Linked DNA regions of Ovis aries. The protein of the gene in region 3 interacts with the protein of the main gene of each other region in a pairwise test. Links are inferred from orthologs where the notes say so. Each region holds a gene or a part of one and is shown on either strand. Other genes may lie near its edges.

Region 1 (2,624 bases), on a different chromosome or scaffold from region 3:
TCCGTGGCCCCCAGCTGCTGCTCCAGCTCGCTGTTTTCCTTCAGCACCAGCCCGTATTCCTCCTCCATGGTCACCCGCTTCTGCCGCTCCAGGCTCAGCTGGGCCTGCAGCATTGTCACTGTTTTCTTCAAATGCTCATTTTCTTCCTCATCGGGGCTTTGCTGACTTGGTAAGGAAGTGATCTTCTCGGCAAACACATGATCGTACACGAAGTGCCTGGGGGAAATATTGAAAGACTCTTACACAGGCCGACTGAGAAGGCAAAGAGGGAGGCTGATGATTTTTTTCCAACTACATATTTTTGAGGAGCTGTGATATGACTGATTTTTTGCCTATTCCACCCTAGAGCAGCGGCTAAAACGAATGTGTGAGGCTGACAACACATGGAGGAACACACATCTTGTGTAATTAATTTTTTTTTAAAACATTAAAAATGCTATAGAACATCCATTCCCAAAGACCAGTAGTATGACTGAGACTGTTCAAGGAGATCAGAACAGCCAGTGGTGCTCAATCTTGGCTGCAGATTAGAATCACCTGGGCAGTCCTAAAACATACTGACGCCTGGGTCCCACCCCCACAGATGCTGACCTAGCTGGTCTGCCACATGAACTAGAGGGTGTGTATTTTTTAAAGCTCTTCCTATGATTCATAATATGCAGCTAAGACTGAGAACCATTGCTGCGGTGATTTTAAACCAAGAACAGACAGACATCAGAATCACCTGAATAGCCTTTCACTCATACCTAGAGATTCTGATTAGGCCTGATGGCGATCTGAACAGTCAAGTTGAGGCCCACCAAATGCACGAGCTGGTCTCTCTCCTGGTCAGAGTCCTGGGCAACTTGTAACTGTACTTATTTGCTACCTGCCTCTTCCTGAGACTGAAAGCTCCATGAGGGCAGAAACTGTGTCTGTTTTGCTCACCACTCCTCACATCTGGCATAGCACCTGCCTTACCACAGGTGTTCAAGAAATAGTTCTTAAATGAAGATTCAATCTCCAAAGTCTAAATTGTAAAAGGCTTTTCTTCAGGAAAAAAAAAAAAAAAAAAAAAGCCTTCTGTTTGCCTGGATTTTGTTTTACTGAAATTTCAATTGGACTAAACAACAACAACAACAACAAAAACTATCACATGTATGTTTAAGTGGTTTTGTTCAAACCACTGGTGGTCTAATAGCCAAGCGGCATTTCCTAAAAGGGTACTTTTAATCTACTGGGATCCAGAATGTGCCAATGACACGAGATGTTCTCCTGCTTGCAAATGGAAGGTGGGCTCTTACTGGCGGAGGTCATACAGCTCTTTCAAAGACGAGAAGCTGGGGGCCGATTTCTCCTGGTCATGCCTCCCCTGGCTCCTTCTCCTTTGGCTGGATGATTTCAGCTCCTCCACTTGGCTCTGGAGGTGATCAATGTTCATTTGCAGGCATTCAATCGTTTCAGTCAGACTGTGAGGAACAGACAGAAGCCAATTGCAGCTTGTCATATTAAATTAAAGGCATAAGCAGTGAGGAGAGCTTAGTTGGCAACCACTCAAACTGGGCTTTTGTAATTGGAAAAGACTTCTATTTAATCTCTATTCTCCATAGAGAATTAAATTAAAGCTTACCCCACACTGACCTGAACCCACTACAGCCATGTTCTATTCTAGTTTATACTAAATGACTTCCCCTAGGGCTTCTTCAACAGATTCTAAAGAATTTACCTCAGAATCTTTTGCTGTGAGGCCTTGCTGTCAGCAACGAGCTTTTGATTTGTTTCTTCCAGTTCCCTCGCTGTGACGTCTAATTGCTCATAAACCTTTGCATGCTGTTCATTCATCTGCCGCAGAAGCTCCACCTGCTTGGTCAGATACTGGAAGAGATAATTGTGACCAGGTTACACATTAAACATGTGGGATACCTGCAGTATTCCAGGTATAATACAGAATGCATCCTGCAATTCACTTCAATTCTGACACCACCTGGAGTGATAAGGGCTCAGTTCCACAAAACTGCCCCCAATTCAGGTACCAGAGGTAAGTCCTAGGGACCACCCGTCCTTTCAACCAAACAACTATAAATTAGGGAATTCCCATGACCTCCTCTCACATTCAATAATCTGCTAAAACAACACACAGAGCTTGGGAAAGGGATTTACTTACAGTTTTATTCTCAGATGCACCACCCTCCCTGGAAACCTCTTGGTCTCCTTTTAGAGTTTTACTGAAGCTTCATGGCACAGGCATGATTAATTAAATCATGGGCCACTGGTGAACAAACTTGATTCCAGTCCCTGACCCCTCTGCAGAGGCTGGCAACGGGGCTGAAAGTTCTAACCCTCTAATCATGTGGTCGGCTCCTCTGGTGAGCAGTCTCATTCTATCATTCAGGAAATTCCGAGGGATTCAGGACATGGGGACAAAGGTCGAATATATAGTTTTCATTATACCACAATACCACAAGTTTATTTTACGAAATGAAGAACTTCAAATCTCAGTTAAACTACTTTTCTTAAAAGGAGCTGAGTACAGGCCGTCCTTTATATGTTTAGTTCCCCTAAAGCTCACCAATACAGTTTAGGCTGGTCTACTTTTATAAAGCACAAAACACACATAAAATTAATATTTGACAGGAAAATCTAGG
Region 2 (3,728 bases), on a different chromosome or scaffold from region 3:
TTAACAATGGTTTACTGTGTCAGAGATGGCTTGTGTGTGACTTTATGTTCCATTATTTGGATCAAGCCTAATTCAATGTGTCTTTCATTGATAGCCATTTAGATTTTGCTGTCTTTGCTTTCACAGTGCTAAAATGATTATTTTCATGTGCACATCTTTGAGTGCTTATAAAAGGATGTCTGAAGGATAAGTTCCTAAAAAGAGGAATTCTTAGATCAAAGAGAGCACATTTAAAACTTTGATAGATTTTGCCAAGTTGCTTTTCAGAAAAGACTGTGCTGGTTTATACTTCAGCTGTTGGTGGATATTCTCCCTTAGTGGATATTCACACCCTTACCAGCACTTGGTATATTATAGACCCTTTTTTGTTCTTTGCCAGTCTGATGTTATAAAAATTCTAACTTACCGTCTTATGTTCTTAAAAATTGCAATTGTACTTGAATGTTATTTTCATGTGGATATTAGTCATTTTCCTGTGAACTGCTTCACATTCTTGCTATGCTGAAATTTTCATTGATTTGTGAGAACTCTGCTTTTTAGAAAAGTTCGCTGTCATAATTTACACTTTTTTTTCACATTTGCTTGTCTTTTGACTTTGTTTATGGTCAGATTTATCAGTTATCACTTGTATTTGTGTGTTTTTAAAATTTCAAAATCACCTTCAGTTCAGTTCAGTTGCTCAGTCGTGTCCGACTCTTTGCGACCCCCTGAATTGCATCACGCCAGGCCTCCCCGTCCATCACCAACTCCCTGCGTTCACTCAAATTCACATCCATCGAGTCGCTGATGCCATCCAGCCATCTCATCCTCTGTTGTCCCCTTCTCCTCCTGCCCCCAATCCCTCCCAGCATCAGTCTTTTCCAATGATTCAACTCTTCGCATCAGGTGGCCAAAGTACTGGAGTTTCAGCTTTAGCATCATTCCTTCCAAAGAACACCCAGGACTGATCTCCTTTAGAATGGACTGGTTGGATCTCCTTGCAGTCCAAGGGACTCTCAAGAGTCTTTTCCAACACCACAGTTCAAAAGCATCAGTTCTTCGGCACTCAGCTTTCTTCACAGTCCAACTCTTAACATCCATACATGACTACTGGGAAAACCATAGCCTTGACTAGACGAACCTTTGTTGGCAAAGTAATGTCTCTGCTTTCCAATATGTTATCTAGGTTGGTCATAACTTTCCTTTCAAGGAGTAAGCGTCTTTTAATTTCATGGCTGCAATCACTGTCTGCAGTGATTTTGGAGCCCAAAAAATAAAGTCTGACACTGTTTCCCATCTATTTCCCATGAAGTGATGGGACCAGATGCCATGGTCTTCGTTTTCTGAATGTTGAGCTTTAAGCCAACATTTTCACTCTCCTCTTTCACTCTCATCAAGAGGCTTTTTAGTTCCTCTTCACTTTGTGCCTTAAATCAGTGCAAAGAGAAACAAGTGATTCTGGTAGTTTTTCAGATGAATATTATAAAAACATTAAAGAGGAGTAAGAACTAACATAATTCACTTTTGAGCATGGTACTTAAACTGTGTACCGTTGTGTAATGAAGAAGAAAAATGTGAACAGATCTTGAGCTTTTCTTACATTTGTACCTTTTTATTATTTCTTAAAAAATTTTTATTATTGAAATATAGCTGGATTACAAAGTTGTGTTAATTATTGCTGTGCAGCACCGTGGTTCAGTTATACACATATACCCAGGCATATATATTCTTTTTCATACTTTCCGTTCTGGTTTATCACATGATATTGAGTACAGTTCCTGTGCTGCACAGTAGAACCTTGGTATTTATCCACATTTGTCCTTTGTGGTGTCCATTCTAGCAAAACTGTTTTGTGTGCAGTTTAGGAATGAGCAAGTGAGTTTCTCCCTCTGTTAGCTGTATCAACACGTGGATTGCCTACTGCAGTATGTAACTGCAGCTAATGATCTGAACCTGTGTGAGTCACTACATCTGTCACTGTTTTGTAAATTTTACTAATGACACTGAACTGTTCATGTGTAGTTATATAAAGAGTCTTGTTACTCATGGTTGTTTGGTCATAACTTAAGAAAAATTAAGGTTTCTGTTGGATAGCAATCGAAATGAAACCTCTTACAGCGGTGGGCTCTTTTTGGGAGAAACTCTGCCCTGCCTTGATGTCCTATGTCCTTTCATTTGGTTAATTTTCCTCACACTTGAAGATCCAGTGCTTTCAGCTTTTTGAGAACTGACGTGCATGTGTGAGGCACAAATGCAACTCAAGATGACAAAACCAGCGACGGTTCTTGAGGGGGGTTTGCCGAGCTGTGTGTCTGTCTGCTGCTCCTGGGTGCTGGTGGCCACCAGGTGATCGTGATGCTCTGTCTCCCGCAGGTGTGATGGATAGGTGACCGAGAAGCCCTGCTCGCTGTCATCAGGGAGGCAGCATGACCGAGTGCTTCCTGCCCCCCACCAGCAGCCCCAGTGAGCACCGCAGGGTGGAGCATGGCGGCGGGCTCACACGCACCCCCAGCTCCGAGGAGATCAGCCCCACCAAGTTTCCCGGGCTGTACCGCACGGGCGAGCCCTCACCCCCCCACGACAGCCTCCACGAGCCTCCCGATGTAGTGTCTGACGATGAGAAGGACCATGGGAAGAAGAAAGGAAAGTTCAAGAAAAAGGAAAAAAGGAGTAAGTGCCGTTTCCTCTGTGCTGTGGCTTTACTCTAGATAAATATCTGCTCTAGTCACGTGTACCTGCCATCCTATATCCAGGGACTCCTGCTTTATATTTTCTTTTCAGGGTCTCAGTTTTTGTATTTTAGGGTCTTACTGTTGCAAGTAAAAATACTGAATTTCCAGAAGTGGTAAAGTTTTCTGGTGGAGGTTTCTTAAGTTGGTTTTTTAAAATAATGTATGAAAAATAATTGTTGAAATTTTGTGCTTATGGAGTCTCACTGTCTTGGTGAGGTTGTGTAGGCCAGTTGGGGCACATAGTAAAAGATAGTGTATTTGTTTTCTTAAGCAGAGGCCACGACACGCCCATATGGGATTCCTGTTCTGTAGGGAGGATGATAGCTTTCTATTATTGGGTTGGCCGGAAAGTTCAGGTTTTCCTGTACAATGTTACAGAAAAACTCAAATGAACTTTTTGGCCACCCCAGTATCATGTTCTTTTGCCATTCTGGTTGGTGTGGAGTTCGTGGTATTTTAACTAGAGGGAAATTTATGCAGTACCTTTAATCTCTGTTATAGAATCTCTATTATTAATTTCTATTTTAGCTTGTAAGATATTAGGGTAAAGAAAAGAACAGGAGAGTTTTAGATGTTTAAAAAAAACCCAAAAAACAAGGAAGCCAAACTAGGGCAGCTCTGATATTGAGTAGCTGTCAGTGTGAAACCCAGGCTTCTGACTCGGGCATGGCTGACACTCGAGGTTAGGGGTTTCCTGGTTGGTCCTCCGCAGAGGAAGCTCCATCCGTGCTGCTGCCCCAGAAGGAACTTACCAGCCAGAGACCCGGGAGCCAGATGCGGTGGGGAGGAAAAGATCACCTACACAGTCCTGCATCTCCAATTGTGACTGGAGATGGCTTCAGATTCCAGGCACCAAATAGAAAAACCTAAGCTAAGAGAAGTGTAGGTTAGAGGATGTTCTTCCGACTGTGCAGGAATGTTGTGTCTGATGGTGGGATTCTTTCCAAATAATTTGAAATAATAAATGATTATTTACAGTAATTTGGTTTGTAAAAGTTCCTTCTTGCGCATATGTAT
Region 3 (4,293 bases):
AGGCTGCCCATTATCCTTTGATGACCTCTTTTCCCTTTCATATGCTCTTTAGTTTCACTAATCTCTAATCATGAACATGAAAATATTGGAGGTGGAAGAACTGGACAGAGGGTCACTTGTCCCTGGCTTTGCATACTTCTGGAGATACCCTAGTCCCTGCTGGCACACCCAGGATGGTGGCTAAGGGTAGCTGAAGAATCAAGTCATTCTAAACGTCAACACCATTCTCAAGTGATTTCAGATCCTTCCCCTCTCTGCAGTGGCGCACGTCGGTCAAGTGTTTATGTATCCAAGGAGAGGCTGCTATCTAGTACATCAACGTGGTCATGATTTAGTGAAAAGAGTCCTGGACTAGACCATAGCCTGCCTCAATATAGATTTACTGAGCTTCTTACAATGGTTCAAGGCCTTACTGGGCACTGGCTATAGGAAGATGACCAATGCAGACCGCTGAATTTTTGCTTTCAAGGCTCTCATAGAGTACTGAGAATAACAAACACAGTCTGATACAATGTATTAGGTAAAGGCCATAATTGTTAATTTGGGAGGAGGAGGGGCGCGTGAGGCAGGGAGTTCCCGGAGGGCATCAGGGACAGAATTTGAGCTGGATCCGGAAGGACAGATGAGTTTAAACCCAAAAGTGAAGGACTGTCGTTCCTGGCAGAGGAAACCGAATGAGCCAAGGCGCTTTAGGACACAGACCCCTTGCCCAGCGCTGCAGGGACACACAACCGGGGGCAAGGAGATTTACATCTCCGGGCCTTGGCTCAGAAACCTGTGACAATTACACCAGCCTTGCGCTTGGGAACAGCTGGGAAGATCTGCGCTGCTTTCGCCAAAGCTCTTGCCCGCGGTTAAGGCAGGAAGCCCTGGGAGGCGCGCAGGAGGACGGAAACTGTAAACCCGGCTCTCCACGCCTCCATCCTCGGCTTGGTGAAGTATATACACTCCAGCTCCCAGAGAAAGAGTCAAGAAAAAGACCGGAAGGGAAAAAAAACCCAGAAACTCTCGGGGGCAGGGACGGGGGGCGTGCGCGGCCTGAGCCCGGCCGGGGTGGTGCGCGGGCCGCGCGGCCACAGAGGTTCCGGGGCTGGCGACCGGGCGCGCTCCCCGCCGCCTTCCGGCCCCGCGCGGGGAAGCTGAGGCCGCGCTCGCGCCCCCCCTCGGCTCAGCCTCGCGCCTCCCGCCGCGCCTCCCGTCCCCGCTCCGGCTCGCTGGGGGCCGCGCGGCCGGGCCTACCCGCGGCCGGGCCACCTCCTCCCTCTCCGGAGTGACGAATCGGCGCCCGGCTGGCAAAGTACTGACTTTCGGGGAGTTTTGAGGAGCGTATGGAGCCTGAAAAAAATCCTTGACTGTGCTAAACACCACCGCGTCCCCACGAGAACGCTTATTTTCCTGAAGAGAGTCGGGTGGGGCCTGGAAAGGAATTAAGAAGAGTGTTGAAAGTGCGAGCGCGGAAGCTCGGGACGCGAGGGGCGGGGCGTGCGCGGGACAAAGGGAAGCGAGGCCGGAGCTGCGGGCGCTTCTTCTGCCCGCGGGTGAGTGTTTCCGACTGGGCCCGGCTGGGTCGGGAGGGTGGAGAGGCGTGGGGTCCCGGCTTGGCTGGGGTTGCTGAGGGTTGCTGGGGTTCAGGCTTGGCCGCGGGACCAGGGCCGGGGGCCGGCTGCGGCCTCTTTGAGGCCTAGCGGAGCGAGGGTGGGGAGAGAGTCCCATCTGGGGCTCCTCTTGGGCGGCCAGAAGTGCCCCTTCCACTAACCCCACGGAAGTGGTCAAGGCGCTTCTGCATGCTCCTCTTCAGTAGAGTAGCTGGTAAAGTGCACCTACACATCAAACCAAACCGAATCGGTCTCAGAGGAAGCCCTTGGGGCAAGCTAAGCCCGTGGTCCTCACCCCCAGGAAGATGGTTTCCCCTTGCCCAGGCAGCGATCTGAGGACTCACGGTGTGGCTTGGAGTGAAAAGCGAAAGCTGGGCAACAGTTTGGCCTGGGTTTGAAACCCAGCTCTGACACTTCCTGACTCTGTGTCTTGAGCCAAGTTACTTATACTGAACGAGACTCCTTTTTTCCCTCTGTAAAATGGCAATAGCAGTACACACCTCGTTGGTAGTGTGACTGTTAAACCAGATGGTGTGAAAGTAGTAAGCCTGTCCCGTATAAGGTATTCAACAAATAACTTCTCCAGGATTTTATGCCAGGCACCGGAGATGCATACAGTGGTGGACAATTGTACGAGATCACTCTTGAAATTTATGGTATAGCAAAAGAGACCAGTAATTTTAGAGTGTTAATAAAATGTGACACACCTGGGAGCTTGTGGCAGATATTATCAGGGCCCCCCACAGCAAGGCCTACTGGATGTTGACAGCCCACCCAAGCTTGAGCAGGAAGGAAATCTGCATTAGACTCTGGTGTCCTGCATGTACCTTAAGGAGAGAGGGAGACCCAGGTTGGGCCATTGAGAAAATAAATGATTTCTTTCTTTCCACACCAGGCCTCTTACTCATAATGCTCCAGAAATGCCCTTAAAATACAAAACAGGAGCAAAAAAAAAATCATGTTTGTTTCTCATAATGTCGGATGAAAATACTCTAGTAGTCATAGAAGTTATTTGCCTTTTTTGTGAAAATGAATGTTCATCTCTTTGTACACATGGTGTGTAATGTATAGTGAGGTAAGGAACAAGTTCACGTGTGTGTGGTCATGTCCTGAGCTAGTGTTACTAGGACTGAAGTTGGTAAAAATTGAGCTAGGTACTGGGACAGCAATAATGAACTAGCTGGTCCCTGTCTCCATTCAGCCCCCATATTAGCAGGTGTAATATGATATTGATCTGTGTAAATTGGAGTACAAATGAGGAAACATTTAATTTTGTACAGATAGGTCCAGAAGTCTCCATTGAGGAGATATATTTTGAGTTGAGCTAAGAAAGATCAATAAGAGTTTTTTCCAGTAGACTCTCGAAATTTATTCCCAGCGGTTATGAAGCTGTTTACCATCATGTTGTTTTTTAGTGGCTCAGTTGTGTCTGACTCTTGCGACCCCATGGACTATAGGGTACCAGGCTCCTCTCTCCATGGGATTCCCCAAGGGAGAATACTGGAGTGGGTTCCCATTTCCTTCTCCAGGAGATCTTCCCAACCCCGGGATTGAACTCAAGTCTTCTGCGTTGGCAGGCGGGTTCTTTTACCGCTGAGCCACCAGGGAAGCTCCATTACTCCTATAAGAGAATGTGAAGTTTCTTGTCACACCAGTTACCTTTTCCACTGCCTTCAGGAGTAAAATGCTGTTTTACTAGAAAGAAGTTGTTATCCTAAAAGGAAGGCAGAGCTGTGGCTGGTCATGGAGCTGTCAGTGTCTGGTAGGCCTTGTTGAGGTAGGCCCCAATAATACATCATATTCTTTTGTCATTGTATTTTTACCGATTTGATTAAATGTTTACATGGCATCAGCGAAACGTTTTCCATACAAGAGGTGGCTCAGTATCAAAAAAAAACAAAAACTTGCAAGTACATGTCTAATTTTACTTTTTAATATCCCCTGTCATTTGTTTTAGTCATTTAATTCTGATCAACTGAGTGACCTAAAGAACTAGTAAAATATTTAAAAGGCTTGATTACTAGAAGATAATGTAATTTTACAAAGAAATATCAAACTACCCTATTCTTTAGAAAAACATTCTCTTATGCTTGCTGAGTTTTGATTATCTTTATTTTTCTTTTTTTTTCCTTTTTTTTATTTTAGTGTCTCAGATTCATTCTTAAGGAACTGAGAACTTAATCTTCCAAAATGTCAAGTAAGTTTCATTTTTTATATTTATCAATCTATATTAATAAGAGACTAATGCCCTAGCAAATGGGAATTCCAAAATACTCTCATTTTTTTTTCTTCAAAACAGGACCATTGGTAGTTTTGTTGCATAGTATTATATCTCAGTTGTTTACAAGAAGTTATTTATTTTCTTTCAAACAGAAAGACCATCTTATGCCCCACCTCCCACCCCAGCTCCTGCAACAGTAAGTTTTAATTTTCTTGTTAATGTAATAGCCAAGTCTGGCCTTGATACAAAAACCCAGATGTCTTCCAGTGACAGTCACTCAATCATTACAGCAACAGGATGAAAAATTCAGCTAAAAAACAGCACTTCCTACTAAATAAAATAACTCTGCATCTTACCTTGAACCAACCCCAACATTTAAAGAAACATACTACTGAAATGCCAACCTCCTATGCTCAGTTCTTTTTTTAATTAGAAATAAGTGGCAAGTTTAACACTTTTCTTGTTCATCTCTATTAA

What was found.
Region 1: the proteins of SMARCE1 (region 3) and CDR2 interact in binary tests that used the Homo sapiens proteins (3 or more experiments, as listed by UniProt). The two-hybrid records come from large-scale screens. The link is inferred for Ovis aries from reciprocal best matches to the Homo sapiens genes SMARCE1 and CDR2.
Region 2: the proteins of SMARCE1 (region 3) and RALBP1 interact in binary tests that used the Homo sapiens proteins (3 or more experiments, as listed by UniProt). The two-hybrid records come from large-scale screens. The link is inferred for Ovis aries from reciprocal best matches to the Homo sapiens genes SMARCE1 and RALBP1.

What each region holds. Positions count from the first base shown.
Region 1 is NC_056077.1:20,559,410-20,562,033, forward strand, and holds part of CDR2 (cerebellar degeneration-related protein 2), read right to left. Parts: intron 1,855-2,624; coding exon 1,706-1,854; intron 1,449-1,705; coding exon 1,284-1,448; intron 217-1,283; coding exon 1-216.
Region 2 is NC_056076.1:42,133,126-42,136,853, forward strand, and holds part of RALBP1 (ralA-binding protein 1), read left to right. Parts: intron 1-2,352; 5' UTR 2,353-2,405; coding exon 2,406-2,649; intron 2,650-3,728. UniProt on the Homo sapiens protein: Multifunctional protein that functions as a downstream effector of RALA and RALB. As a GTPase-activating protein/GAP can inactivate CDC42 and RAC1 by stimulating their GTPase activity.
Region 3 is NC_056064.1:40,602,566-40,606,858, reverse strand, and holds the start of SMARCE1 (SWI/SNF-related matrix-associated actin-dependent regulator of chromatin subfamily E member 1), read left to right. Parts: upstream 1-1,493; 5' UTR 1,494-1,538; intron 1,539-3,740; 5' UTR 3,741-3,785; coding exon 3,786-3,792; intron 3,793-3,968; coding exon 3,969-4,012; intron 4,013-4,293. UniProt on the Homo sapiens protein: Involved in transcriptional activation and repression of select genes by chromatin remodeling (alteration of DNA-nucleosome topology).